Rhinolophus ferrumequinum: one gene and its partners. The protein of the gene in region 4 interacts with the protein of the main gene of each other region in a pairwise test. Links are inferred from orthologs where the notes say so. Each region holds a gene or a part of one and is shown on either strand. Other genes may lie near its edges. The genes, in order: KNSTRN, RANBP1, MPHOSPH6 and NUPR1.

The links.
Region 1: the proteins of NUPR1 (region 4) and KNSTRN interact in a two-hybrid assay, tested with the Homo sapiens proteins (2 studies listed by BioGRID and IntAct). The link is inferred for Rhinolophus ferrumequinum from reciprocal best matches to the Homo sapiens genes NUPR1 and KNSTRN.
Region 2: the proteins of NUPR1 (region 4) and RANBP1 interact in a two-hybrid assay, tested with the Homo sapiens proteins (2 studies listed by BioGRID and IntAct). The link is inferred for Rhinolophus ferrumequinum from reciprocal best matches to the Homo sapiens genes NUPR1 and RANBP1.
Region 3: the proteins of NUPR1 (region 4) and MPHOSPH6 interact in a two-hybrid assay, tested with the Homo sapiens proteins (2 studies listed by BioGRID and IntAct). The link is inferred for Rhinolophus ferrumequinum from reciprocal best matches to the Homo sapiens genes NUPR1 and MPHOSPH6.

What each region holds. Positions count from the first base shown.
Region 1 is NC_046289.1:64,664,175-64,671,306, forward strand, and holds the start of KNSTRN (small kinetochore-associated protein), read right to left. Parts: upstream 3,009-7,132; 5' UTR 2,998-3,008; coding exon 2,910-2,997; intron 1-2,909. UniProt on the Homo sapiens protein: Essential component of the mitotic spindle required for faithful chromosome segregation and progression into anaphase.
Region 2 is NC_046308.1:24,568,759-24,576,369, reverse strand, and holds the start of RANBP1 (ran-specific GTPase-activating protein), read right to left. Parts: upstream 3,013-7,611; 5' UTR 2,854-3,012; coding exon 2,839-2,853; intron 1,517-2,838; coding exon 1,380-1,516; intron 1-1,379. Other genes in the region: TRMT2A (tRNA (uracil-5-)-methyltransferase homolog A), read left to right, coding at 3,644-3,682, 3,848-4,404, 4,664-4,772, 5,043-5,224, 5,401-5,515, 5,613-5,728, 5,806-5,917, 6,506-6,628 and 3 more. UniProt on the Homo sapiens protein: Plays a role in RAN-dependent nucleocytoplasmic transport. Alleviates the TNPO1-dependent inhibition of RAN GTPase activity and mediates the dissociation of RAN from proteins involved in transport into the nucleus.
Region 3 is NC_046298.1:28,028,651-28,036,321, reverse strand, and holds the start of MPHOSPH6 (M-phase phosphoprotein 6), read left to right. Parts: upstream 1-4,650; 5' UTR 4,651-4,735; coding exon 4,736-4,786; intron 4,787-7,671. UniProt on the Homo sapiens protein: RNA-binding protein that associates with the RNA exosome complex. Involved in the 3'-processing of the 7S pre-RNA to the mature 5.8S rRNA and play a role in recruiting the RNA exosome complex to pre-rRNA; this function may include C1D.
Region 4 is NW_022680357.1:1,129,453-1,136,200, reverse strand, and holds NUPR1 (nuclear protein 1), read right to left. Parts: upstream 1,962-6,748; 5' UTR 1,806-1,961; coding exon 1,694-1,805; intron 1,288-1,693; coding exon 1,151-1,287; 3' UTR 1,138-1,150; intron 811-1,137; 3' UTR 519-810; downstream 1-518. UniProt on the Homo sapiens protein: Transcription regulator that converts stress signals into a program of gene expression that empowers cells with resistance to the stress induced by a change in their microenvironment.

The DNA of each region.
Region 1 (7,132 bases), on a different chromosome or scaffold from region 4:
TGGCTTTTGTAGGTGAATCTCAGGACTCAGTGCTAGATTGGAAGTGGCGGGGGGAGGAGGGATAAGAGATAAGGCGATCTGAAGGATTACTCCCAGGCTTGAATAATTGTGTGGATACTCACTATTTTGTGTTGGGGGAGATTAAGAGTTTAGTTTTGAACATGGTAAATTTGAAATGCCTCTGAGACATTCAAGTGTTTAAACTGTCAGGCAGGCAGTTGGAAATACCAGCTTTGAGCCCAGAGGAGAGTCTAGATTGGAGATACACTCTTGGGAGTCATGTGTATATGGGTGCATTTAAATCCATGATATTGAATGAGATCACCGAGGGAAAAAGTACAGAGACACTTAGGGCCAACGACAGGGACAGCAGCATTTAAAGGTTACAATAAAAAGGTGACAGCCAAGAGACCTGATAAAGAGGTGCCAGAGAGGTGAGAAGAAAACAAATCAATGGTGGTATCTTAGTAGCTAAGAAGGAAGAAGTAAGGCACTATTGAAGGAGGGAGTGGTAAACTATTGAAAATAACGGAAAGGGCAGGCCAGATGGGAAATAAAAAGGAGCCTTTAATTTAGCAACAAATAAGTCATTGTATAGGAAGAGAAATTCTGGTGGAGGGGTTTGAGTGAAAGCCATGTTGGAACAGGTTGAAGAGTACATGAGAGCTGGGGGAGCAGATGGCAGGTATAGAGAGTTTGTGAATGGAGCAGAGCAATTGGGCAGTAACTGGAGGTGGGCTGGGGGGAATCTCGAAGATGCAGATCCTAACTGATACATGTGCCAATGGGAATGAGTCAGCTGAGAGGAAGAAAAGGTTGCTTCAGAGGACAGAGGGGATGATCAAAGGAGCAAAGCCATAGAGAAAGAGGAAAGGACGTTGGGGTCTACAGCAGCATCTTCAAATTCTTTTGTTCATGTACTCCCACAAATAATAAAATGAACAAACAAAAAAAACAATGTACCCTCTCACCCATTTGTAGTTAATGCCTAAATATTTTCATAATTGTAAATATTTGTAAAGGACACACTTTCTACCTACCGTGTTTCCCTGAAAATAAGACCTAGCTGGACAATCAGCTCTAATGCATCTTTTGGAGCAAAAATTAATATATGACTGGGTATATTATATTATATTATATTATATAAGACTGGGTCTTATATTAATTTTTGCTCCAAAATATCCATTAGAGCTGATTGTCCAGCTAGGTCTTATTTTTAGGGGAACACAATATTATATATTATGTATGCTCTTTATTCATTTCTAAAATTCTTTTCTCTTTTGGTATTTCATTCTGGATAATTTCTATTGCTATGTCTTCAAGTTCACCAATCTTTTTACTGCAATGTCTAAACTGTTTTTAATTTCATCCATTGCTTTTTCATCTCAGACATTTTAGTTTTCATCTCTACAAGTTCAATCTGGGTATTGAAAAAATATCTTCCAAGTTTCTACTTAGCTATTTGAATATATGGAATACAGTTATAATAATCGTTTGGATGTCCTTGTCAGGTGACTCATACAGGTATCAGTTCTCAGTTGGTGCCAATTGATTTTCCTCCTCACTCTGGGTCATATTTTCCTGCTTCTTTGCATAACTGGTAATTTTACTAGACCTCAAGCATTGTGAATTTTACATTTTTGAGTGCTGGTTTTGTGTTCCTGTAGATATTTTGGAGGTTTGTTCTGGGATGCAGTTACATTACTTAGAAAGAGTTTGATCCTGTCAGGTCTTGCTTTTAAGATTTGTTAGGTGGGAATGAACAATGTTTAAACTAGGGCTAATGAGTCCTCACTACTGAGGCAAGATCCTTCTGAGAACTCTAACCAATGCTCCATAAATTATGAGGTTTTCCAGTCTGGCTAATGGGAATAGGTAATGTTCCAGCCCTGTGCGACTAGTGGCTACTGTTCCCTCTAATCATTTTGATGGTTCTTTTTCCTTGGTCTTAAATAGTTTCCTCACACTTATATAATGAGCAGTGTTCTGCTGAATACTTGAGGGAAGCCCTTTGCAGATCTCCAGAATTCTCTCTTTCTCTCTCTGCGCACTTTTCTCTTCTCCAGTATTCTGTCCTGAGCACTCTAGCTACCTTGGTTGCCCCAAACTCTGAGCTATCTCCTCAGCTCAGGAAGTCTGCATGGCCCTGCCTGGGTTCTCCCTCCCTGCAATACATCCTGGAAACTCTCTCAAGCAGTAAGCCAGGCAATCATAGGGTCACCTCATTTGTTTCTTGTCCATCAGGATCACTGTCCTTTGTTGTCTTATGTCCAGAGTTGTGAAAACTGTTGTTTCTGTTTGGGGGGTTGTTTTAGAAAGGAGGGTAAATCTGGTTCCTGCTACTCGATCTTGGCTGCAAGGGGAAGTTGTATATGTACTTTAAATATATTTTTGTTCAAACCATGAAGCTTCAGATTTAAATGATTCCATTTCTGGAAAATGTCCACCATATATCCTATTTGCAAAGCCAGTCCTCTGTGTCAAACCCATCAGCCAAATGAGATTGACTTTCCATCAGAAAACGTCAGATTTTGTTTTATTAAAAAAACTTTTTTTAAATTTTGTTTTTCAATTAAAATAAAGAATTCAAATTAAATGGAGAAGGCACAGAATTGAGCTACAGGGCTGTCCCCTTCAAAATTTTTCAAAGCCAACTCTCTAGGCTTTGCTCTCTCAAGGACTTCTTCAAGCCGAGTACTCTCAAGTAGTCCTTTTGTTTTTTTATACTGCAGAGCAATGTGCCAGAGTAGGATTCAAAATGAAGGAGGGAGTCAGTTGGGAAAGTGGAGATCAAGCAGAACTGGCTGACCTAAGGCTCCTTCTTAGGCTGATCAATAAGAGGAGAGGGAACTTATGAAGGAAGAAGTTCTGGAAATCGATTCCCTTAAAAACTGTCTGTGTCTACCTACCTTTTGGAAAAACTTCATGTCGCTGTGGGAATGCAAGCCTTAGTTTGAAGGCCTCTGGTGCAGTGTGTGAAGCCATTGATAGAGCCATTAGTGCTTCCTTTGTTGTAACAGAAGGGATGGGGAGAGAAGCAGGCTGGCGCAGAGGGAGGTAAGTTGGGGACTTCTATCTGATACCTCCAGTTTTCTTTATGAAGGATGAGCTGTCTACTGAAAGTGGAGGTGTGGAAGGTGGAGGGCGTCAGATATCTGGGGAAGGTAGAGAAAGTATGAAATGGTCATTACAAACAATGGAAACTAGTAATTAGAATGGAAACTAGCTAGGCAGGGCTGAGGTTCCAGTTGAGGTTGAAGGTCATGAATTCAGATCTGCATCACTCTGCCCACCTGTGTGATTTTCTTTAGCAATACTGAAGCTCTTATTCAATGTTTGTGAATTTGGTAAAATGCTGATCTTTTTCCTACGCTGAGGAATAACATGAATAACCACACAGAGGCCTGATAATAATTATAAGTTTATCAAAGTCCTTCCAGGGCTCTTCAGCGAAGGTGGCCTGGGACAGCTAGCCGTTTACATAGCACATAATGGCTTTCTTTTGTTTCTCATCTTCCTGGTGAATTGTGTTACAATTTCTTCTCTTAAACATAAATACCTCCACTCCTTGAGTTACCGATGCCCCTATGAACAAGGGTAAGGGTAGAAAGGGTGAGGAATGTCTGCTTTTCCTATCCCCAAGCAAACGGGATCTTGATGCATGGCAGGGGTGCCAGAGGGCTTGGCATTGCCATGTGTATTATCCAAAGCCGAGATGAGGCCACCATGGAATAAAAGAACAGGAATTCTCCAGACAACGGCTGAAGGCTGTAAATCAATGTATCGTCTTTCTTGATACCCCTCCTCTGCCTCCCTGTCCGTCATTCACTGGGAGAAGAATGGAATGAGATGCAGGGGGCTGAGCAAGTTTGGCTTATAAATCTCTTATGAGATGTCGTTTTCAGAATCAGGCTCAAGCTGGGATGTTGCCTAAATACCATGGTATAGCATATGCCATGTGCCAGAATCTAAGATTCTGAGAGTCAAATCAATCTCTGTTTAACGTTGTCACAAAAGCGCCACAGCCATGGAAGGACAGGTTTTCCCACAGTAACAAACTATACCGAGTTACATGTTAAAAACACACCACACATAATCTGTGAGTTCAAGGATCTGTGACACGAATAGGAGAAACACTCTCAAGTCCCAAATGAGTGTCAATGTAGTTGTATTTTAAAGTGTCTCAGTGGTAAGAGACCATTTCTTGAATTTTCCAGACCAAATGTGAATGCTTTGACTGGTTTTCCCTGGCCTCACAGCATGCGTCTAAGCCTCTCCCCACAGGTCCTGGGCCACTGGCTGATTGTAACCACCTACAATAATAACAAAGTGACTAGATCCGCGGAAACTCAAAGGAAATAGAAAATGCTTTAAATCATGCTTTCCAAAATTGGGGCTAGGGAGGCAGGCTGGATTACCCGCTGAAGTGGGGTGTCTGCTGTTGGGTGTAGGCCATTCTTGGTACGAGGTGAAGTTTTTGATTGCCACTGGGTTCTTCCAGTCCTTTGGGCCCAGAGGCACACAGAACAAATCCAGTCAGTACATCAGCTTCTGTGGCTCCTCTGCCGTCCAGTAGGGTTGTATGGCCATGGCCTGGATGAATGGGACCCAGAAATCCCCGATAAGGTCCTCAGGTGTGCCCAAATCCCTGGTGCCCACCCCGTGCCCTGGCTCTCACATTTCAGTGGTTGTGTTCTGGCAAAGCTTTGGAAGCTCCAGTCCCAGACACCAATGTTGCCCCAGAAAGACACAAAAGAGGGTGTAGAGGAGCAGGTTCTTTCTGGTCCAGGTCCCGGGGGCCCTCCCACAGCACAGGGCAGAAGAACCTCAGTGAGTTGCTGAGAAGTATTGACAATGCTGGACTCTCTTTTGAGTCAAGGCCAGACTTTGCTCATGCTCAGGAGGAAGGGCTTACCTGTCCTCCCTCTGGCTGACTGTCCCAGGTGAGGCCAGGGCTCTCTCAGCCTGGCTGTGTGATAACAGAAGGACATGGTCTGTGGTGCCGAGAAGTCAGGACCCCGAGGAGCAGCCCGAAGCCAGAGAGGCTCAATTCCATTTGGACATGAGGAGAGAGGGGCCCAAGCAGACCCCCACGGGCACAGGTCCAAGTCAGGTCCGACTCACTCCCTCCACTTCCTGGTGTCGAGTCAAATGGGTGGGAGTTATTTATCTTGCAAAGTACCCTGTCCACAGTCTTCTGTCTCTCCCACAATGCCTGTCTCATTTGGGTTTCTGTCCCACTTTTCATGGGCTGCTTGGGGTGCGAGGCGGGTCTCCACAATATAGGATAAAAACAAAACAGCCCAATTTGTCTCCAGCTCTGCCACAGACTGTCCCTGGGAAACTCCCTCCCCCTCTGTAATACTCATCTGTAAAATGGCCTGAGTCAGGGGTTTTCACACCACATGCTGTGCAGGAGTCAGGAGGTTGAGGGGTTCTCCAGGGCCCTCTGAGAGGCACAGCAGAAAAGGAGGCTGAACTGGCTCTGTCCTCCCCCACCCAGCACTCACCAGAGTAGCTGTTTTTTATGTTTTATATACTGTGTTTCTACACAAAGATTCTTTGAAGAAAGGTCCTGAGGCTACAAAGTTTGAAAACTGCTGGAATAGATGATTGTTAAGGTTCCTTCCAGTCTGAGATACGTAAGACTTCTGAAGCCTAGCTCAAGTCATCCCTCTTCCAGGAAGCCTTCCTGGTTACCCAGTCCTGGGTACTTGAGCTCCAGCAATACTGATGGTGACAGGCAGATGCCCTCAGTGACCCACTGATGCTCGTGCAGACGTTTAAGCTGTTTCCCCAGCTACAGGCTGAGCTCTTTGAGGGTAGATGTTGATTTTCCTTCCATGACTCTGTCCCCTTGCAGTACCATATGCAGAGCAGGTATTCAGTAAACTTGCTGATGTTTCTGTCATGAGCTCTCACCTGGGATAAATCTTCCAGAGAGAGTCATTGCTTTGGGGGGGAGGAGTCAGCCTTTGGTCTGCTGAGGGCCACCAGAGAGACCTGTCTTTTGGAAGCTGGGAACCCTACCTGGGGAACAGCTTCAGACTCACACGCGCCCCTATGGGGTAGGCCTGAGTTATTGCTGTCCTCAGTGTCTGGGCGTGGGAGGGGAGCCTCTCTATCAGGCAGGACACATAGGGATGATGGGGGAATTCCAGGCTTGCGCAGAGTAGCTCTCTCTGGAGATGGAAGCCTAAAAGGGGGGGAGGGCAGTTTACTCAGAGACCCCAGAGGATGCCGGTAACAGCAGGGTGCTGGCGGTAAAAGATGAGGACAGCCACAGACCAATGTCCCTGGGGTAGGCAGCCAGGAGGAGAGTGGGAGTTGTAGTGGTGGAGTGGGTCTGGAAACCTGTTCTCCTTTACTAGCTTTGTAATTTGGGGTAAATTGCTTAACTTTACTTAGTCTCGATGTCTTTACCTATAAATTAGGGGCAAAAGAGCCTAGCCAACTGCAGGCTACCCCATAGTGAAGTGAGATTCCAAGGAGACAATGGGTATGGAAGTGTTCTGTAAACTGAAAGAGGCAGGGATGGAAAGGATTCTGACTGTTAACAAGGGGAGACCACTCTTCCCTGCCAGAACAGCTTCCCACGAGGTACAAGCCTTCAGTAGAACAGGGATGCTCCAAGGCTGGCCAGCGCTCCTCCTCCTGCCTCACTCCCAGCTGCCATCTCTGCCCGGCCTTGACGAATTTCTGGTCAGACTGGGGTGTGTGAGGGGGGCAGGGCAGTTCAGGATTGAAGCCCCAGCCCAATACTGGCCCAGAGAAGCTCCCCAAAGAAAAGAAAGTGTCCTATTAAAGAGCCCCTGAAAGGTGTGAGGCCCAGGAGGCTACTGACGTTCCTCAGGGCTCTTTTGCTCACTGAGGTACCCCCACAGGGTCCCAAGAGCTGGGCCCCTTAGTTCCACTGGACTTCTTGCTACTTGGCCTGGGGGCCAGGTCCACCTCCCCTAATACCTGGAGCTACATATTTGGCCTTCCCCCTTCCAGAGGGTGGGTCCTGGTTGGCACTGTGGGGCAGACGAGCCCTTAGCAGGTCACAAGGAGAGCTTGGCATTTCCCTCCAAAGACCTTCCCCACTGAATCCTCCAGATGTGGGAAGTAAGCGGCAGCCTGGATCAAGGCT
Region 2 (7,611 bases), on a different chromosome or scaffold from region 4:
TGGCCTCCAGCCCAGAGAGGGAGCTACAGGCCTCAGCTCAGGCCACCAGGCTCTGGCCCAACATCCCACCTCCCTGCCCAGAACAGCACCTCACACCGGGCCATGCAAGGCCCCCATCCCAGCAGTCCTGCCCTAGGGCTCAGGCTAATGTTTCCCAACCCCACTGACCATCCTGCCCTTTTGCTCCCCATCACAGGACCCCAGCTCTGCTGGTACCTTTACTGAAGAACACTTTGCTCTCCCTCCCAAACGCAATTCTGTTAAGAGAGATGATGTTCTCACAAGGCCACCTCCAGAGCTTTGGCCTAGAGCCCCAAGGGCCCAGATATAAAGGCCCTACTTGCTGGCTTCACTTCCCTCAGGAAGGACTCGTGTCTAGGGCACCAGGAGCACTTCCCACCTTCTGTGCGGGCAGGGAGGTAACAGCAATAGCTCCACCAGCAGTCCTCACTCTTGGGAGGAGCCAGCCCCTGGCTGCAGCATCATTTCTGGACAGAGCAGAGACCTGGAGAACCAGTGTTTTCAGGGCAATTCCACCACCCTGAGACCAAAGAGGGGTTTGCCACCTCTCCTTTCCCAGGCCTTTGGGAGTGGTGGGGAGGGGCTGGTCTCCCCCGTCTTAACCTGGTATCTTGGATAGATCTGAAGAGGGGCAGGCGAGTTCCACAAGCTTGGACAAGGGAAACACTATCACCATTAACTTGTAACTGAACCTAGCATTTCTTGCAATTCTGAGCATAAGCAACAGGCCACAGGCTGGGCAGGGCTGTGACTTTGTTGCAGACATCTCAACAACACGTTGCTAGGGCAGGCACTGCTTCAAAATAACACCTGCACTGGAGCTTCTCACTGAAGGCACCAAGAAGCACAATTAGAGTAATTTTTAAAAGTAATCTTGATAATTCTAACACCACCCACTTTTGTCGTAATTCCAGGCATTAATTTTGTGCATTAAAAACATAAATCAGGGATTCACAAGCTACAAACTGCCAAAATCCATGGCAAAAATATTAATAATAACGGAAGTAAAGGTAGAGACTCCCTGCTCAACCAGGGGAAAGGGGCTGTGGGAGTCAGCTGAGACACAAAGGAAAATACACCCTGTGAACACAGCAGAAGTGACAGGACTCTAGGGAGTGTCTGTGCCCTCCACAGCACTGGCCATGGGGCAGCAGTGGCACCCACTAGTAAGTAATCTAATAAGTGGATTCTAACAGCAACCTTGATTTCCACGTAGTATTAGCCATCACACAAGTCTAGGCCCTTTCTTCAGCCTCACTCTGATTAAAGGTCAGGCCAGAAACTCGACACCCATAAAAACCTTAAACTGCATCTTCAACTAACAATATTTATTTCTGAAGTAACATCAGGTCACTTACATTTTGAAAAGCTCCTCTTCGTCTTCTTCCAGCGTTTTAATTTCTTGCTCGGGAAGAGAAACTATAGGCTCAAACTGCGGGTCGTGGTTGGACTCATCTGCATTCTCGGTGGAGGTATCATGGTCCTCATGGGTGTCCTGTGGAGGGAGGTGTGGAGAGGTGACTGCTGGAAGTGGCCATTCGCACTGGTGAATGGCCTCATCCCAAAGCAAGAGATTAAGCCCATAGCCTTTCACACTAGGAAAGGTTTGCATGTACGTCCAGCATACAGTGAGACGCTGGACTTCAGCATCGTCCCCCAGATGCATCAATCATATTTGACTGGGATGCCTAAAACTCGGCTACCTATTGGTGGAATGGCCTGAGAAACTGCCCCATCTCTTTGAGCCTCAGTTTCCTCATCTATAAAATGTGGATAAGTGATACTGCCACGTGAAGACCAAAAGACACAATGAAGGAAGAATTGAAGAGGGCCTCAAAGGCAATTTCACCCTTAAAGCAAAAAAACAACCCTAAGAGTTTTTACTGGCTGGGAAAAATCTGTGCTCTTGCTTACTAGAAGAAAAAAAAGTTGGGACTGCTAGTTTTACACAAAATTCACAGTTCTGTCAGCACCTTTATGTTGCTTCAGAAACCAAGTTAATAAGTCAAAAGACAACATACAAATAAAAGCCATAAAATGCTGGTCCATTTTAGAGAACTATAGAACACAAAGGATCTTATGTTAGATCGAAGTGTTTACAGGACGAGTGGCTTGGTGAGCTATAAAACCAAAAGAAACCAAGACACTTCACTACCAGATGTAAGCCGAAAAAGAAAAGATAAGCCTTCGCTGCTTTCCTTGGTTGGAAAGCACTGCGGCTCGGCCGCAGCCAGCTCACCCAAGCAGCCACCACGCAGCCAACAAAGCCGTCCCCTCCCTGGGTCGGCGCGTCCAGTACCCGTCCACCCCGCTGGAACGCGAGAGGTCCTGCCGCAGAGGCCTGTGGCGGATCGAGACTAGGACAGAATGAATGAAGTGCTGCGCAGACGACGAGAAGGAGGGATGCATGGTCTTGGTAAGAAGCCCGCAAGTGGGCCGAGCAGAGGAAACCCGCCACCCGCCCTGCGTCCCTGGCAAGCGGTGAGAGGAACGCGAGACCAAGGAGTTGGGGCGGCGGGGCCGCCCCACGTCCTGATGGAGCTCGCCCGACCACCCGGGGCCGCCCCAAGGTCACGCGGGCACCCCGCAGCCCCCGGGCCCGAGCCCGCGCCCCCAGGTCCCAAGCGCCCCCGTCTCGAAGGCCTCGAACCCCCAGGCCGCGCTTCCCACAGCCCTACCCCGCGCCACCGAGACCCCAAACGCCGAGACCGCAGGACAGCGGGGGTTGGCGGCGGCGGCGCGGGCCGCCCACGTGGCCGCCAATAGCGGCCTCGGCCCCCCGGCCCCCGTCCAGTTCCTGCCCGGGCCCAGCCGCACCTTGGCGGCCGCCATGGAGGCGCGGCGGCGGCGGCGGCGGCGGCTCGGCTGGCTTGGTCGTCCCTGGCTCCGCGGCCTCTCTGCGGCTAGTCGTAGTTCCTTCCCTCCGCGTCTGGCGCCGGCGCCTCCCGCCCGCCCGCAGTTCCCTCCGCCCCGCGACCCGAACCCTGACCCCTGACCCCAGCGGCGGGAAACGCGCCGTGATTCAAAACCAGTGCAGCTTTATTGGCTCAGGCGACGGACAATCTCATTGTCCGGCCCACCCCGCGCTTCCCGCCAAAACGTCCGCGGCGCATGCCTGGCCCGCCCGGACAGAGCAGCGTGAGCTCCCGGCGGCCTTCGCGCGCACTTCCGCCCCACGGCTGCGCGCGCCCCTCGAGCTTTCGAAAGCAGGCGACAGACACCGGGGTCGGTGCCGGCGCACAGCGATGACGTCGACGGAAGCTAGGATAATAGACACGCGCCACCTAGTCTGCACGAACTGGCCGACGGGAGAGCTGCGGGCGGGGAGAGCGGCGTGCGCGGGGCCTCTGGCGGGCGGGAAGTGTACCCCATACCCGAGACCGTGGACCTGAGCACCTAGGGTTCCAGTCCTACCCACTCCCTCACGGGGCGGGACCGGGGGCGGCCTCTCGGCGCCGCACCTGTGCTCTGAGCGCCTTCTGTGCGCCAGGCCCAGGGCGAGGAGGCGGAGGCGGCACTTGTGGGGCTTCCAGTCCAGGCCTTGGACAAACTGGACGATGAATGATAAACTCGACAACGAAGTAAAGTGAAGGGAGATCCTAGCAAGAGACGCGGGGCCGAGATGGCGGACTGCGTGGGAGGGGCTGGAGGGGGGGGAGAGGTAGGAAACCCGTGGGCACGGGGAGTTGAGCTGGGAGAGGAAGGAAGTGGGGGTAAAAAGGGGTAGGTGTAGGATGGGTGTAGGATGCACTAACGGAGGTTTGGGTGTGCGGCCGGGGAGCCTGGGCGTTCAGCCCTCATCCTAGCCCTGCCTGTGTCCACACAGGGCCCGGGGCCAATGGAGGGCTGCGACCAGGACAGCAGCAGTGCTCTGGGCAGCCCTGCAGCCCCCGCCCCCCAGAAGGAGACGGAGGAAGAGGGGGCTGGGGCGGCTGCAGAGTCAGGGCCTCAGCCTGGGCTTTACAGCTACATAAGGGACGACCTGTTCACTTCGGAGATCTTCAAGTTGGAGCTGCAGAACGTGCCACGCCGCACCAGCTTCAGCGATGTGCGGCACTTTCTGGGCCGCTTTGGCCTGCAGCCCCATAAGACCAAACTCTTTGGGCAACGTCCCTGCGCCTTTGTGACATTCCGCAGTGCCGCTGAGCGGGACAAAGCCTTGCGTGTGCTGCACGGTGCTCTCTGGAAGGGCCGCCCTCTCAGAGTGCGCCTGGCCAGGCCTAAAGCTGATCCCATGGCCAGGAAGAGGCAGCGTGAGGATGAGAGTGAGCCACCAGCCACATGTGTGGCCGATGTGGTGACTCCTCTTTGGACCGTGCCCTACACAGAGCAGCTTGAGCGGAAGCGGCTGGAGTGCGAGCAGGTGCTGCAGAGGCTCGCCAAGTGAGTAAGGGCACAGTCACTTATGTGGCACTGGAGTTCTGCTCAGCTCCATGTTCACTCAAGCCCATCCTGTGCACTGTACAGACACACTCAGGGTCTGCACATTGTCTTGGGGAGCTAACCAGTAAGACCCCTGAGTTACCAGTGGGGATAATGAGGTCCCAAGGGAGGTTCTGGGTGCCTGGGTATTTGGAGAGTGATTGGAGATGGGTTGGGAGCAGCAGGCTGAGTCCAACCCCGGCCTCACCTCACCCTGCAGGGAAATTGGGAGCACCAACCGTGCCCTGGTGCCCTGGCTGCTCTCACAGAAGCACAAGCACAACAAGGCCTGCTGCCCGCTGGAGGGAGTCAGGCCGTCACCCCAGCAGGTCAGGCCCACAAACCTTCACCCCATGCTCTTAAAGAAGCTATCTTAGTCCATCTCTCCCATCCCTCCTGCTTTCCACTTATTCCTCATACTCGTCACGTGACTGCTGGTTGCTGTCAGCCTTGTGCCCTGGACTGCCAGGCCCTTTGGGGAGCTGGGACCTCTCACTCGTTGCCATCTCTCACTTCCTGCAATTTTCCCTCCATGTACAAGTGCGGGAATGCCAGGGTAAGGTCAGGAATGTCTCTGCCTTCCTCCACCCATTCTGCAGACCGAGTATCGTAACAAGTGTGAGTTTCTCGTTGGCGTCGGGGTGGATGGGGAGGACAACACGGTCGGCTGCCGGCTAGGCAAGTACAAGGGTGGGACATGTGCTGTGGCGGCCCCCTTTGACACCGTGCACATCCCCAAGGCCACCAAGCAGGTGGTGAAGGCCTTCCAGGATTTCATCCGGTGAGGACTTGTGGCTGGGCTGGGGGCTCCGGGATGTCCTGCGGTGGTCTGGGAGCAGAGGGCCGGGTCCTGCCTGGTGGGTGTGGCCGAACGAGAGGAAGGTAGGCTGATCTCCCAATTCTGGTCAGCATGGGTGGCAGGTCTCATGGACTCACGGCCGCTCGTGGCTCCCACAGGTCCACTCCATACTCGGCGTACAACCCAGAGACATACTCAGGCCATTGGAAGCAGCTGACCGTGCGCACCAGCCGCCGAGGCCAAGCCATGGCCATTGCCTACTTCCACCCTCAGGTCTCAGGCAGGGTGGCCCTGCTGCGGGAGGGTGTCCTGGCTTGAGTGGGCTGCATGCAACACAGTCTCACAGGACCTTCTCTACTTCCTACTCCAGAAACTGAGCCCTGAGGAGCTGGCAGGACTGAAGGCCTCCCTGGCGCAGCACTTCACAGCAGGGCCGGGCAAGGCCAGTGGCGTGACCTGCCTGTACTTTGTGGAGGAGGGACAGCGGTGAGGAGCCTGGGTAGGTGGTGGGCTGGATTCCTGCCAGAGCTGGTGACACTAACCAACTGGCCTACCACCCATAGGAAGACTCCCAGCCAAGAGGGCCTGCCCCTGGAGCACGTGGCTGGGGACCGGTGCATCCATGAGGACTTGCTGGGCTTGACCTTCCAGATCTCCCCTCACGCCTTCTTTCAGGTAGTCCAGAGTCCCCGTATCTTCATAATCAAGACACAAAGGGAGTCCTGATGTGACGTCAAGATGTAATAAAGGCAGTGCGCTAGGCGGTGACAAGTTGTTCACCTGCAGAGGTCTGGGGGAGAGCATCCGGGCTGTGAGGTCGGAATGAAGTCGTTTGCACTAACTAGACCCTTGTGACGAGTGTGCTTGAGGGCCCTATGTGGGGTGTAGGAGTTGGCGATGCCAGGGCTCTTGTGTGAACTGTGATGGAGTCATCCATGCCTGCTGCTGCTGTGGGTGGCCCCATACATCTGGCACTCAGTTCATAAGTTGGGGGAAGAAGGGGTCAGCATCAAGTTGCTTTTTAAGGCCCGGGCCCTGGGTGAGGTTATGCAGCATTGGTGTATGGAGGGGCAGTTGGAGGTGGGGAAGGGGTGGGAGCAGGAGACCTAGGAAAAGGGGGAGTAAGCCAGGGACTGGGCCACAGGTCTCCTAGCAGGGAAAGAGCCCTGCGGAGTACAGGCGTGGTGGGGGCGGCAGGAGGGGAGGCTGACCTGGGACGCAGGACTGCTCTGACATCCTGCGTGGTGCTGGCCCGCCCTCCAGGTAAACAGCCCGGCCGCGGAGGTGCTCTACACGGTTATCCAGGACTGGGCCCAGCTGGACTCCGGGAGCACAGTGCTGGATGTGTGCTGTGGCACTGGCACCATTGGCCTGGCCCTAGCCCGGGTGAGCCCTCCTGCCCCAAGCTGAAGACACCTTCTGCCTACCCCCACCCATGTGCTATCACCTCTTCGTGACCCCCACTGACCCCCACCTGAAAGACTGAGGTGAACCCCCAGCCTGTCCCAGAGCCTCTTCTCCCCATAGTGCCTCCTGCTACTCCCCTCCCCAAGAAGCCCCCAGGGTGGGGCAGGGCACTATCAGTCTGTGCCCTTTCTTCACTTCAGAAAGTGAAGCGAGTCATCGGGATTGAGCTGTGCCAGGAGGCTGTGGAGGACGCCCATGTGAATGCCCGCAACAATGGTGAGAGCCAGCGCACCAGTGGGCAGTCATCTCAGCACAGCACCTAAATCTTATTTCATGGCTTCTAGGGGCGGGGTGAGGGCAGGGCGGTGTGCAGAGCACAGCAGGGCTCCTGCTGTGTCCATGTGTGCCCGCAAGGCCCGGGCTGTGTGACACAAGTGCTAACAGGCTCCTTGGCTAGAGGTTTTCTTAAGGTGCCTCAAGACAGGGGCATCAGGACACCAGGCGGCTGGGCAGGCCCGAGGGGGTGCGCGGGGGCGGTGTCCTGCGTCCCGACAGGGCTGCTGTGCTATCTACAGAGTTGAGCAACGTTGAGTTCCACTGCGGGAGGGCCGAAGACCTGGTGCCCACCGTGGTGAGCAGACTGGCTTCTCAGCAGCTTGTTGCTATCCTGGACCCGCCTCGTGCTGGCCTACGTGAGTGGCATCCATTTGGGGATGATGGAGAAGAGGGTAGTGACACTGGCTGGCACACCAGGCTGTGCAGCCTCAGGCCTGATGCCCATGCTCACTAGCCCCACCAGCCCTCCTTGAGGTGGGGACGTTTCCCTGAGGGAGTCTTATTTCCTCAGATTCCAAAGTGATCCTGGCCATCCGCAGAGCTGAGAACCTCAAGCGGCTCTTGTATGTCTCCTGCAACCCCCGGGCAGCCATGGGCAACTTTGTGGAGTGAGTGTGAGGTGGGGG
Region 3 (7,671 bases), on a different chromosome or scaffold from region 4:
TGAGGTGTCAGTGTAGATGTCACTTCCTCAAGAAAGTCTCTCCAATCTTCTCAAATCCAGATTAGGTTCCCTGTCATAACTCATCTCTGTGACAGTATTTAGGACCTGTATCCATACTCTCAAGGAAGGGGTAGTTTCCCCAGCACCTACCAAAGGCCAGGAACATCAGAGATGCTCCAAAATATTTGTGAAAGAATGAAAAAGGCAGGAGTCAGGGAAAAAACAGGAGTCTATAGCAATCAGAAAGTAGTAAGATTTAGCCATTAAATTCAGGGATAGGTTCATGGCAATGGAAAAGAAAGGATGAATGGAGTACAACAAAAAGAAAGCTAAATGGAAGGTTCACAAATCTAAATTCTGAGTTGACACAATTTTGTATATATAACTAGGAGATTCACCCAGCTCAGTAGTTTTCTAATCCTGGCTGACCATCAGAATCACCCAAAAATCAAGAATAATTTTTGGTTTTGACATATTTAATTCTCCCATTGTCATAACCACTAACTGAAGTTTAGTAATTATTTACCTGCGTGTCCTGTAAGGCCACTTCTTGCATTAATGCTCTAATTTAGCCAAGATAGCCACAAAAAATTGATAGGACTTGGTAAGTAGCTGAATGTAAGAGCGGAAGGGCTATATTACACTCGATTTTTAGGCTAATTGACCTCGAGTCACAATTTACATATAAACAGGCAGCCAATAAATACTTGCTTATTAAATGAAATAGGGAAGCAGGAAGAGGGAGCACATTTTATGAGAAAGAGTAGATTTGATGTTGGCTATTAGTTTCTCAACTGACACTCTACCAATTATTTGTCCTTCAGGGCTGTGCTCTTCTTTCCTGCCTTAAGTATATATTTGTCCTTGCCGTTGCTGTTTTTGCTATTTTAAGGATTATCTCTTCTTTGGGTTATGGCACCCAATTTCTCTTTAAAAAGCTTTCCCTTCTCCATTTTATATATTAATACATGGACTATAAATCAGGTCTTGCCCTCTCTTAGCTAAGACTCAATGAGACTCTCTCGTAGACTTTGAAAACTTGAGTATCCTAAGAGCAAAAAAATCAGCTGGTGCTCATCATTCTTTCAGTGGCACTAAATTCTTGCTTACTAGATCCCTGGACCACTTTGGTTTCCATCCCGTTAACTAGGCCTTGCTCTCAGGCCTTTTCATTACTTCTATGAACTACCCAGTATCCTTCTAAGAAACCCCCATTTTATCTTGATAATAGCTAATAAGCTATTATCAATGTCGGGCACTTGCCAAACAACAAAATAACAGAAGCTAACACAGAAAGGAAAGAAGGAAGGGGAGAGAGGAAGAGAAGAAGGGGGAAATGCAAGCCATATATGTAATTTTAAATTTTCTAGCAGCCGCTTTAAAAAGGAAACCGCTGACATTACTTTTAATGATAGGTTTTATTTGAACCACTGTGTCAAAACTATTATTACAACATGTAATCAATATGAAAAAATACTAAGATATTTTACTTTTTTCTCTCCAAGTCTTTGAAATGTGGTATTTTAACACTTACAGCCCATCTCAATTCAAATGCTAAATTTTCAAAAGTTAAAGTAAAATGCAGTCCTTCCAAGACCATAAAATGTGTATAACAGGAAAATATTTTATACTGCTAGTTTTTAAATTTAACTAAAATATTCAGTTCCTGAGTCACATTAGCCACATTTTAACTGTTTGGTAGCTACATATGAGTACACCTACTGTACTAGGCTGAATAGCCTTACATATAATTGGCTACAAGAGTGAAGAGACTCGGGACCTTTTCTTGATGGATGTAGTAGTTGGAAGGAATTGGGAAGTTTTCATACTTCCCAGAAATTCCATTATGAAAGGATTCAGAATTGTGAGAATATGTATAGAAATTTCTCTTCCCCAAAATGATGTTTCCTTGGCTGTGTAACTAAAACAGGTTAACACATTATTGTGAGACCCAGACTCTATTCTACAATTTAGTAGCATAGAGAGATCAGTTACCTTCCCTATCAGAGAGTTTAATTCAAAGTTAAAATTACATTATCACATACTCTTAAATCAGTTCATTCATTACATTTTGATGGGTATCAAGAGATTTTGAAGATTAGTTTTAATTATAAATATTTTCACTGTCAAATAAAAATGTAGAAATTTGAATGACAGGTTGGAGAATCTGAACATTATCCCTCAGCTAACAGTTATTGTACATATTGGAGTAGGAGAGTGACATAATGAAGTCAATGTTTCAGGAAAACAAATCAAAATCCAGTGTGCAAGAGGTCCATAGGGAAGGTGTGGAGTTTCTAGCATCCTTAGCTAGTGTACATATACTCTTATTTCTGTCAGGAATTATTATCCTTTTACACTGAGAAGATATGTGCTCATCCTTCAAGGTCTAGTTCAAAGTCAGCTGTTTCTTGGATGCAGATGGCAGTGACTTCTTCACCTCTGATCCCACAGAACTTCTTTCAAAATCCTGAAGAGAAGTCAAATTCAGAGACAGACAGTAGAATAGTGGTTGCCGGGGGAAGAGGGAATGGGGAATTATTGTTTAATAGGTACAGAGTTTCCATTTTACAAGACGAAAAGTGTTCTGTGGATGAATGGGAATGATGGTAGCACCAAATTGAATGACTAGAGGGCCTTTCCCCAGCCTAACTCCTTCCCTTTCAGCTCTCAACTTAAATGTCACACCTTTAAAGGCCTTCCCTTTTCCAAGCCAGAATGGTTTGCATACCTTTGCTACACCCTCTCATGAACCCTGCACTTTTCTATAGGACTCTTATTACAATTGTAATCTATAGCTAATTATATGGTGTAATTAGTTTGCTAGGGCTTCCATAACAAAATAGTACAGACAGGATGGCTTAAACAACCAAACTTTACTTTCTCACAGTTCTGGAGGCTGGAAGTTCAAGATCAAGGTGTAGGGAGGTTAGGTTTCTCCTGAGGCCTCTCTCCTTGGCTTTCAGATGGGCACCTTCTCCCTGTGTCCTCACATGGCCTCTCTTCTGTGCGTGTGCATTCCTGGGGTCTTCCTGTGTGTCCAAATTTCCTTTTCTTAAAAGGACACCAGTCAGATTGGGTTAGAACCTACCCTAAAGGTTTCGTTTTAACTTATCACCTCTTTAAAGGTCCTATTTCCAAATGCAGTCATGTTCTGAGACAAAATCCAGATGAATTTTGGAGGGAGACAATTCAACCCATAACAGGTAACTAGCTCTATTGTTCCCACTTGGTCAACTCTATGACGACTCGCATCCGCATTTAAGGACCTTTGCAGTTGCTAGTCCCTCTTTTTAGAACATGCTTCATACAGCAGGTTTTTCTTAACTTTCAGGCCTTAGCACGATGGTCTTGTAAGAACCATCTCAGACCATCTTATCTAAAGTAACCCCCAAAGTCACTGTCACCTCCTCATTTTCTTTCTTCCATGGCACTCACCAGAATGTCAGCCCCAGGCAAAGGAGGTCATGTGTTTTTCTGAACTACTGTAGCACAGAGTTTAGCCCAGTGTCTCACACAGTGTGGTGAATGAATGAGTTTTGATAACCACTTACCAAACTGTAATTTTATTTAATCCAGTGAGAAAACCTTCCGAGGCAGGGCTACCTTTTCATGAAGCTTTCCGAATCTCCCCTCGTAACACTTACTTGCTGTGAGAACTCTGGCAAGTCCCTTAACCTCTCTGGGCCTCCGATTCCCTAAATATATGATGACAGTAACACCTTTTCAGGGTTCTTCCGAGGATTAAATAATACCCGTATGGTACCCAGCACAAGAATTTGGCATGTAGCGCATGTTATCAGCTGAGATGCCATTAGGCTGGGTGTTTCCCAAAGTGTGGCACCTGTGAAAGGTGTGCAAAATGTTTAGCGGTACAGAGCACTGAAGCTATCATCTTTTCAACGATTTAATTGGAAATAAGGTTGTGTTCTCGCCCTCATGTATCTTTGATTATCTCTTGCTATTCTTCCTATTTAACAGAAAGATCATTTCGGTTCAAAGACGCACACAACAGTTAACAGGTGAATTTAACATGGTTTTCCATTGTATTGCTGAAGCCAGAGCGCCAGGGCTTACACCCACCTCCCTCAGTCTGACTTCGAACTAGCGAAGGACCCTCCCTCTACCTCAGTTTCCTCAACTGCAACACGGGGATAAGAACAGTACCACCCTACAGGGTTATCGTGAACATAAAATGAACTATTACACGTCATGTGATGCAGAACATAGCCCGCCATCCGTGTTAGAAACACGTGAAAGAAAAGGATGGGGAGGCAACCGACTCAAAGGTCTCACGAGGACAACTGAGTCAACGACGCGCGACAGGACTGAGTCCGTAAGCGGGGTGGGACTCGCCACTGCCAGGCCCTGGGTCGCTCTGCCCCGTGCGGAGCCTGAGGGGCCGGGTTGAAGCCCTCAGGGGAAGGCAGCCGACAGCTCGCAGCGACCAGAGCTCCGCCCTCCTCCGGCTTCAGCCTCTCTGGGGTCTCCCTCCCGGCGTTAAGATTCTCTGCCCCCGTGGCGGGCGGTCGCGCCCTTACCCTGAGCTTCTAGGAGATGCATGCGCTCCCTGAGGCGACACGCGAAGAGCCCCTGACGCCTTCGCCCACGAGAAGCAGGGGCGGGGCCACAAGGCACGGAGACGCGCTCTACGTAAAATGACGCCGCTGCGTACGCAGCAGCGCGCGTGCGCAGTGGGGCTCCTGGAGGAGCGCGGGGCCTAGCGGAAGCCAGCATGGCAGCGGAGCGCAAGACCAAGTTGTCCAAGAACCTGCTGCGCATGAAGGTACAGGGACACTGGGGAGCCATGCCGGGAGGGTAAGGCCACCTGATTCTCCCGGCCTGGCCGAGGCCGAGGCACTGGGCGTGCGGGGGCGCCAGAGAAGCGCCGGAGGGCATCCACCTCTCGCGCTCATTCATTCCCTTAGCGTCTGCTCTGCGTTAGGCACTGGGAACCGGATTAGAAATCCGGCGTATTCTCTCTTAAAGCCGGCGGGTGGGAGACGCAGACACGTAAGCGAGCAGTTAGGATACAGCGTACTACGTGCGGTGACGCTGGAAGCGCCCGCACCTCGGGGAACTTAACGTGGGCTTCTGCGGGAAGTGGTCCTAGAGACTGAAGGGTAGGTGGGAGGGTGGGGAACCTAACAACATAAACTGCGGGAAGAGCGAGTTCAGAAGTTTGAGAGGCAAAAACCAAAAACCCATGGTGATTTTTAAGAACTAAAGATAATTCATTATGTCCTGAAGGCAAGTAGCAAGAAATGGGCCTGGAAATGTAGGCGGGTCATTAACATGCAGGAAATTTTAGGCCAGATTAAGGAGTTGTTTTCTTTACCTTGTGAGTGTTGGGAAGCTATGGAGCACAGGTAGCAGTTATCAGCTGTGCCTCTTACTTTTCAAGGTTACATTAACTGTCCTGTGAAGAATACGTTGGTGAAAGAAAGACTCGACAGGACAAAATTGCAGTCAAAAAGACCATCTAGAAGTTTAGATGATTTGAGTGAGGGGCACAGTGGCATTGCAATGGAATTATAACAGTTCAGGTGAAAGTGAGTTATGTCACCCAACGTTAAGCAAAATTGATTTTTATATTTCAGATTGGATCAATTTAACCAAATGTCAAAATGGCGGAAAAAGACAAGGATAGATAAAATAAATACAGGAATTAAAATAGGAAAAACAACCAATCCTTAAAACTTAAATAATAATAGCAAACATTTACAGTTCTTGCTGTGTGCCAGACACAGTTCTAAATGTTTTGCATGTATCAACTCAAGAAATCCATATACGGTGTTTCCCCGAAAATAAGACCTAACCAGACAATCAGCTCTGATGCACCTTTTGGAGCAAAAATTAATATAAGACCCGGTCTTATTTTACTATAATGTAAGACCGGGTCATATAATATAATATAATTAATATAATATAATATATACTGGGTCTAATATAGTATAAGAGCGGGTCTAATATGATATAAAATATAATATAATACCGTGTCTAATATAATAGAATTCCGGGTCTTACATTAATTTTTGCTCCAAAAGACGCATTAGAGCTGATTGTCCAGCTAGGTCTTATTTTCAGGGAAACACGGTGATAACTCTTGAGGTGAGTGCAGTTATTATCCTTCTCTAATAGTCATAGCAACTGAAACAGGGAAGTAATTTGCCCAAAGTTACTGCTTATAAGAAGTGTAAACAAGACTCAGACTCAGGCAGTTGGTACCAGAGCCCCTTGCTCTTAACTACTTCTGGTCGCTGAATACTTATAGATGTAAACTGTTAAATGTCGTGTTTAGAGAATTGTGGAATTTCCAAGAAGAGGAAGCAAGGCATAAATAATGTTTTGAAAGATTGGACAGTAAATATTGGATGGGCAAAATCTGAGTGGAGTTGAGCTAAGGTGTAACTAGGAATGGATAGGGTGAGGGTAGCGGGTAAATCATAGCATAATTTAGTTTCCAAAGTACTTCTTTCATGCATATTAGCAAACTTTGAATCTTTACTGAACAGTTTTCTTGTGGCTTATGGTATGTAATCATGTAGATTTCAAAGAAGTGAAGTGGATTGACAAAGCAGACCCTGAAAAGATTTTAGCAGTTGTTTTAGCTCTTGGATAAGTCAAATGAGGCCGTACTGGGTGATTAGGGCTCAGATCAAAGAGCCCTGACTTTGGAAGTAGGAATGAAGAAATTGACTAAAATTATTCACCTCTAACGCGAGTGGTTCAGAGAGACTCGACTACACATTGGAAGCAAAGGAGAGGGAAAAAAATACCCAGGTTCTCTATTTGGGTTAACAACTTCGGGCATTGATAAGAAAGAACTTATTGAAAGGCTAGCACGAGACACTATATATACAGACAGAGTGGAATGTTTTATGAGAAGGAATGAAGCAGCTGCCTGATGTTGCAGTATACAGTATAGCGCTTCAGCCAGAGCTAAGTATAGAGCAAGAAGGAGAGGGTGGAGGATTTAATCTTGACTCAGTTGTTTTCCAGTGTACTTGAAGTCCTCTGACTTGGGTCAGCTGTTGGGCTGGAGGTTGATCCTGATGGGAAGTAAAAAGTGAAGAATGTCAGTGGAATGTCTGTCGGTATGATGGAATTGTTGTAGTGAGGGTGCTTATTTGTGATTTTAGTTCTTTTGGACTCTTAAGACATTTTTCTGTTAAGAGACAGATAAATACTTGAGGCTTGTGGGCCAGTCTCAGTTGCAACCACTCAACTCTGCCATTGTACCTCAGAACCAAATGCGCGTGGCTTTGTTCCAATAAAAGTTTATTTACAACAGAAGTCAACCCTAAGGGCTGCAGTTTGTGATACCTGCTGAAGGTCCTCAGTTGTGAGTACAGCTAAATCACTAGTTTTAAAGTGTGTTCTTAGATGCTGTGGAGTCAGAAGAATTGAATTTCTGTCTGAGTCTGGAGTTGCTTTATTCCATAGTAACTGGGTGTTCTATCCTTTCCATATGCTTAGAAATGTGTGTGTGTGTGTGTGTGTGTGTGTTTCTGTACATACTTGTATGTATATGGTTATTTTGTGTACCATAAAGAATGTCTACTTGACTTAAAAATAGGAGGAAAAAAGGGCAGTTGGCAAGATTGGTGAGTTTTACTACCAAGAACATGAGTGATGAAATGAGACATCGGGACTTAAAGAGAACCATCC
Region 4 (6,748 bases):
TGACCTCCCAGACCGCTGTCCTGGCAGCCCCCTGGGCAAAAGGACCCACCCCACACTTGAGGACAATAAGCATCCTTGAAATTGAGCCCTGAGGAAGTTGGGGCAAGTCCCTTAATGTTTTAAGACTCAGTTTTCTCCATTTTACAGATGGGCACTGGTAAGGAACATTTACTCCCAAAGCTGGTTTTCTGTGAATACAACATAATCAACAAGATCCTTACTCTGAAAATGGAGAGGAGCTGGGGAGGGGGCTTGTTTCCTGAGCAGTGTTACAAAGCAGCAGAGGAATTCCCCTGCATCCCATAAAAGACCACAGAAACGTATGCACCCAAAGACATGCGTATTGGAGCAAACACGCAAACACACACACCCCTCTACACGCTCCCACAAAACCAGAAGTCCCCCCTCCCAGATACAGAATCAAATGCAGACGCTAACAGAAGACGCTCGTTGGTGGTGCACAGCAGACCCACGCAGAACTGTGTACCAACAAAACCACACACGAGGACAAAGCAAGCTGCAGCTCTGTGCTTTGTTTATTGTCGCCGCCACCCCAGGGAGCTCCGGTTTCTTCGGTGTCTTTCTTTCGGGGCGCACCTTCGTGACTCTGCCTCTCTACTCCCTACCTCTTGCTCCCCATCTTGCCCTTTTTCTGGGGCTGGGGGGCACTTCCTTGGTGGCCCCTCAGAGTCTCTGTGGGGTAAGTCCTGGGGATATCGTTGGGGGCAAGCAGGCCTGGAGCCCCCCAAGGGGCTCGTTCCTGCGTGGTCGCGCCTCCATCGCTGTGTGGGGTCTGTGCTCTGGCCTCATCTGGGGAAGGAAAGCAGGTAGTGAAAGGGACAGAGGTTTCCAATTCTGCCTTTCCTCCTCACTTGTTCTGTGACTCCAGAGAAAGACCCTCCCCTCTCGGGGCCTGTTTCCCTCCCTGTAAACCAGATTTCCCTCCAGTAAGAAAGGGTCTACAGTTCCCTGCTTTGCTCTGGTCACTAAGAAACTCAGAGTCAAATGTATGTCGCGTTTTATTCTATGTTGAGACAACCGTTCTTTGATCCCTCCTCCCTACCCGACCACGCACACTCAGCCCTGGCCTTTGGAGGCAGAGGCACCTCCGCGGTCCTCGAGCCCCGGACCCCTTACCTCCAGCTCTGTCTCAGAGCTGTGCCTTCTGCTTTTTCCGCTCCGTATTCTGAAGCTTGGTCACCAGCTTCCTCTCGTGCCCACCAGGGCTGGGGTGGTTGGTATGGGAAGCAGCTTCTCTCTTGGTGCGACCTTTCCGGCCTCCCGCTCCTGGGAACAAAGGCAAGAGCCTGAGGTGAGGTGGCTGGAGGCGTGATGAGAAGCCTCAGAGGAGAGGTGGGGGTTCGGGGTGCAGCGCTTGGGTTGGAGTAGGGAGTTGCAGGGTGGTCACCACATAGCTCTGGGGCAGTCATCGTCCCTCTTTCCCCATCTGAGAAATGAGGGCCGCCCAGGTGAACTGTTGTTTCTCCAACTTTCTAGGCATGTGTGAGGCCCCAGAGCTGAGTAGAACACTGCTGAGTGGATGAGGGGTTCAGGGAACAGGCTGGAAAAGGGTGAGGGGTGGGGAGAAGTCCAAGGAGGGGTCGTACTGTGAAGGGTGGGGGGTGTCAGACCATTTGTAGGACATGGGCGTCAGAAGTGGAAGGACCAGGAAGATGGCAGGGCCAGGCCTTACCCAGGTAAGAATGAGCCAGGCTGTAGAGGTCGTACTCATCCAGGCTGTGGTCTTCGTCCTCGGAGCCTGGGGGCTGCTGGGATGGGCTGGCTGCTTGGGGGAAGGCGGCCATCAGGTCTGGCTTACTCTCACTGTCTCTCTCTCTCTCTCTCTCTAGCCTTCTAAAGCTTTGTTTGTGTCTGATCTCCTGACAGTTCACTGGATCCAATTTATAAGGCCACGTCTCTTCCTCAGCCTGCAGTCTGGCTCCAACCCCTCAGGCCCTGCCTGATGCAATCGGGCTCTTTCCCAGAACCAGTCACGAGAGGAAAAAAGAGTGAGTCCCAGCCCCCGCTTGCCTCCTCCCTCTCACTGGGGCTGCCCAGCTGGTATTTTCCACAGAGGAGATCCCCACCCCTCAGGTAGCAGGAGGAAAATGACCAGGGATCCTGGTCAGCGAGACCAAGGACCTCACCTGGCCCACCCAATCCTGTCCATCTCCTGCCCTCTGCCACGTGCCCCCTCCACGCTTGGGGTCTTGGCTACACAGCTGACCCTCACGTCCACCACAATTCTGGCTCAGATTCAGGACCGTGGTGGCAGAGTGTGGAGGGAAGGATATGGGGAGAGGATAGCAACATACTATGTGCTAGGCCAGTGGTTCTTCTCCCTGTCACACCCAACACTCCTTTTTTATAAGAAACATCTTGGGAAGCCTCCTTACTATCCTGAACTGGGCCCCTGGGTCACTTTCCTCCTCTGAGAGGGAGGCCAGAGAGTGGTTAAAAATGCAGATTCCGGAGCCAGAGCTCAAGCCCCTGACCCACTACTTCCTGTGTGACCCCAGAAAAGTCACTTCACCTCTCTGTGCCGCAGTTTTCTCCTCTGTAAAATGAGGATGCTAATACTTGTGTCCACCTCCCAGAGTGGGTGACAGGGTCAAATGAGATCCTATATGGAAAGGCCCTGGCCACAGTGCCTGGTACACTGTAAGCTGCGCTATGTAAGAGTTAATTCCAAACAACTCGGTGGAATGCGCTCCCCGTAATGTAAAGGAGACAGAAAAGGAAATTAATTTATAATAAAATAATATCTATTTCAAAACACAGATACACCGAAGTAGAAGGCATTCTGAAGTAAGCAGATGTTTGTACCCCTGTAATAATGAACTAAAGGAAGGGGTTCGGATAAGAAACATGTGAAAGTGGAATTTTCCACTCTTGCCGGAAGGCTCTGCCTGTGGGTCCTGTGGCCCCACGGAAGCCACACCCCCAGTTGCCCACTCAAGCCTCAGCGGAGGAGGCTTCTGTACCAGCTCCCAGCTCCCCCGGTCGGGGGCAGGGAAGGAGGCTTTTCTCTTCTTCTTTTTCCTTTTAAACTCTGTGGTTTCCAACACAATCTGACCCTGTCAGCCCAGCCCAGATGTTCATTCTCTGCTCACAACCCCCACTCAGCTGTGAGCCTATTGAAACACTATTCCATCTAAACTTACCTAAACCGCATCCTTCCCCAAGCTCTATAATAACCCAGTTTTGTCCTCTGTTTAAGGAGAAGTAGCATCAGCTGGCGTGTCTCCCTGGCCTGAGCCAGAATTCAATTTAGCTTTTGTTTTCCAGATTTGGGTGATCTGTAAGTTCTTTACTGTCCAGGAAATGAAAAGACAGGAGGACAGGAATAAAAACAGAGTTGGGATAACAATAACAGAACAGATGTTAAGAGAAGGCGAAAAATAACCTTAATTTAAACAACGATACCACACGGAGACAAGTGAAGGTGGAGAAAATTAGGAAATACTGTTCTTGCTAAGTAGTGGCTTTATCACTCAATCAGTAGCAAAATAATTCCATCATGACATCGGACGGGGTAGGTTCTAGGCTCAGTTTTTTCGCTTCAAGAATATCCAGCAGGACCGTCAGACGTTGTGCTGGACGTGAGACAATTCTGTGTGCAACTGTCTGGTTCTGCCTCCCTTGTGACAACCAAGAAATCCCACAAATTCCCGAGCTGCCCCTAGAGGGCGATCTTTCACGCATTCGCTTGGGCCCCTGGGACCGGAGATTCCTCGTGACATCCTGGGCCCACTTCTGAGTTTGCTCCTCTGTAAAGGCAGGATAGAGACCGGGCTCAGTGTGTGACAGGGCTTTGCCCACAGTCGGGCACGTGGGGTACGGCAATACCACCCCTGTCCCCCCCACGTTCTTCAAAGAAGGAAACCCAACGCTGGGAATGCAGCTTGTTCAAGGTCAGGCGGCTGGTGCGTGGGAAGGAACCCTCCCCCAGTCGACCTGATCTCCTTTCCGAGCTCGTTCTAAGTCAACACAGCTGGCCAAACACTGGCACTGGTTTGGCAGCTGTGTGTGGAGGCCACCTGTCAAGGATTCCTCCAGAACAGTTAGTCCCTGCTTTGGACCACGTGGGAAGCGGAGGTCGCGCGGAACTAAGTACCACGTGCGATCGGTGAGCTCAGCGCCATGGAGAAGGGATATTTAGCAAATCAGTGCGCATGCCTGTCCAGAATATCACACACACCCACTTATCCTATATCCCATCCCCCTGATGTTACAGTAGTACCCCGGTTTTCCAACGTGTCCGTTGATGAACATTTTGGCTTACCAACGCGGTAAAACCAGAAGTAAATGCTTTGGTTTTCGAACACGCTTCCAAAGTCGAAGGTGTCACGCGGCTTCTGCTGAGTGCAAGATCCTGAGGCCTAGCTGTCGGCTGTTTTCCAAAGTTTCAGAACTCCAACGGTCTTCCGGAATGGATGTTCGAAAACTGAGTGTGGGGACAGAGTTCCAGAGAGCACTTTCCAGGCTCTCGGCCTCACGTGGAAAGGTGCTGGCTCGGGTAGTAGATGGCCGTCAGCTGTGACTAATTGGCCATCAGCTGTGACTGGTTGGCCATTCGCCACTGATACAACTGCTGTGACTATGCTGGTTGGTTGGTTGGAAGGCAGAAAAGCGGACGGCGGATTGCGGGTCATGTGGCTCCTGCTTCCTGTGTCTCACCCAGCCGCCAGTGAGACTGGGGTGCAGAAAGATCCCCTTGTTGGGGTACTGGCGGATGTTTGCTTTTGTGTCTCCGACCCAGCCGCCAGCGAGAATGTAGTGGTAGGTCTCCCCTATCTATGGCTCCGTGAGATGTGCAGACGTCTTTGGCTCAAAGCATCAGGAGTTTCTGAGGCCGAAGGCAGGATATGTAACCACGCTGGATTGTTGACCTCGCTGTAGAACCAGGGGACTCAAAAAGCCTAAATGAGGCGAAGCAAGTCTGTGTGACCTCCTAGCCCCAGTCCAGAGGAGCCCACAAACCCCACAGCGGTGCTTGCAATTATTCTTGGCTGTGTGACACCATCACCTTGAATATAAACAGATGCTGTCTTTCAATACGCGATTTGGCAATATTGATCAGACTGTCCAATGCACAGAAACCCTGATAATTGTGGTTCTACGTACAAATGTCCTACTGAAGTGCTCCCAGCCTTGTGGTAGCTGAGAAAAACAGGAAACACCCTAAGTGTCCATCAGTAGGTGACTGATCAGCCTCCGTCTGTGAAATACTCTGTAGCCGTTAAAAAGAATAATGTCTCTAGCTCTGAAGAGAAAGTTGTCCATACTACATCGTTGAATGAAAAAAGCAGGTTGAAGAACGTTACATACAGCATAATCCTAGTTTTTGCATTAAATGTATTGAAATAAGACAGATAACTGTAATACATTGTTTTCAGCATAATATAGGTGTCACCCATTTCTCCTGGTTACTAAGGAAGATAGATGATGGCCAGATAAAACAATGGTAGAAGAATCTAGAGTGGTACATGTTATTACCGGAAGTCTCCCCAGAGATCAGCAAATGCAACCCATTTAACAGATGAGGAAGTAAGGACCAGAGAGGCTAGCATTCTCCACTCCACAAATGTTTAGGGAACTCACTATGAAGCAGACACTTGCTCAGTGCTGGGTTATAAAAGAAAGCAGAACATGACATGCGTACTCGAGGGGCTCACGACAGCCCATTGGCTGATGGTGCATGTTCAATTGCAAGGTGCACCTAACCCAGGCTTGTGAGCAACTCCCAGAGAAGGTCACGTGTGAGCTGACCTGGGAGAGAGGAGCAAAAGCTAGATAGACCAGGAGGTCATGAAACAGTGTCCTGGGAAGGCCAAGGAGAGGACATGTATAGTGCATTTAGTTAACCAAAGGAGTTGGAGTACGGCGAATTCTACTCCTGGATTCAGGAGACCATAGTCTCTTGTCCCCAGTTCAGTGCAATTGAAGCAGGGGCCCAGCAGGGACCCCTGCAATAGGAGCCTGGCTTCCCTTTTCCTTAGCCTGTGGCTTGAGCTCAGGATGCCTCTGGGATGCCCTGCTCCCATCTGGGCTCGTAATTAATGCCTGTATACTTGTTAATTGAAAACTCGATTGCTCAGCATTCATCCCAGGCTACTCCCATCACCAATCCCAGATCGCAGATGCCACCAAAAACTTACAATGACAGAGAGAGGCACCGCGAAGAACAGACCTCTGGGACTGTCATGCAGTCTCTGGGAGAAAGCCCTGATTTCCCTTTAAATACCCCCAAGCCGGTCTGAGAACATTAAGGCAGTTTGGAGGTGTTAACCTGCTGCCTTCTCGGCGCTCTGAAAATAAACACTTATTCCAAATAGCCCAGCTCCTGTGTCGGTCTATGGGCTGAGCTGAACCCTGGACTCGGTTGCCCTCTGGTTTCACTATAATTAAAATACTAGGTACCGGTCTCTCTAGGTCGATAGACCAATGTGTGATGATTCAGCACATCTATCGATATTCTGGCATAGCAAAGAGGAAGCATACGTGGCTTGTGCTTCCCCAGGTACAGACATTAAGGTTTTCCAAACCCTGCTGCTTCAAATATCTCTTTAGGGGAATAATCACTTCACAGTATAGATTTCCATTTAAGCTAAAATGTTTATATCAACTGGGTCATGCCCTAGAGGTCTTACATCTGGAAGGGACTTTGAGGGGTCATTTTGTCAATAGCGGGAGGGCAGTGGGAGCAACCCAACACTCTAATGCAGGCCAAAAACTGGGTCATTTT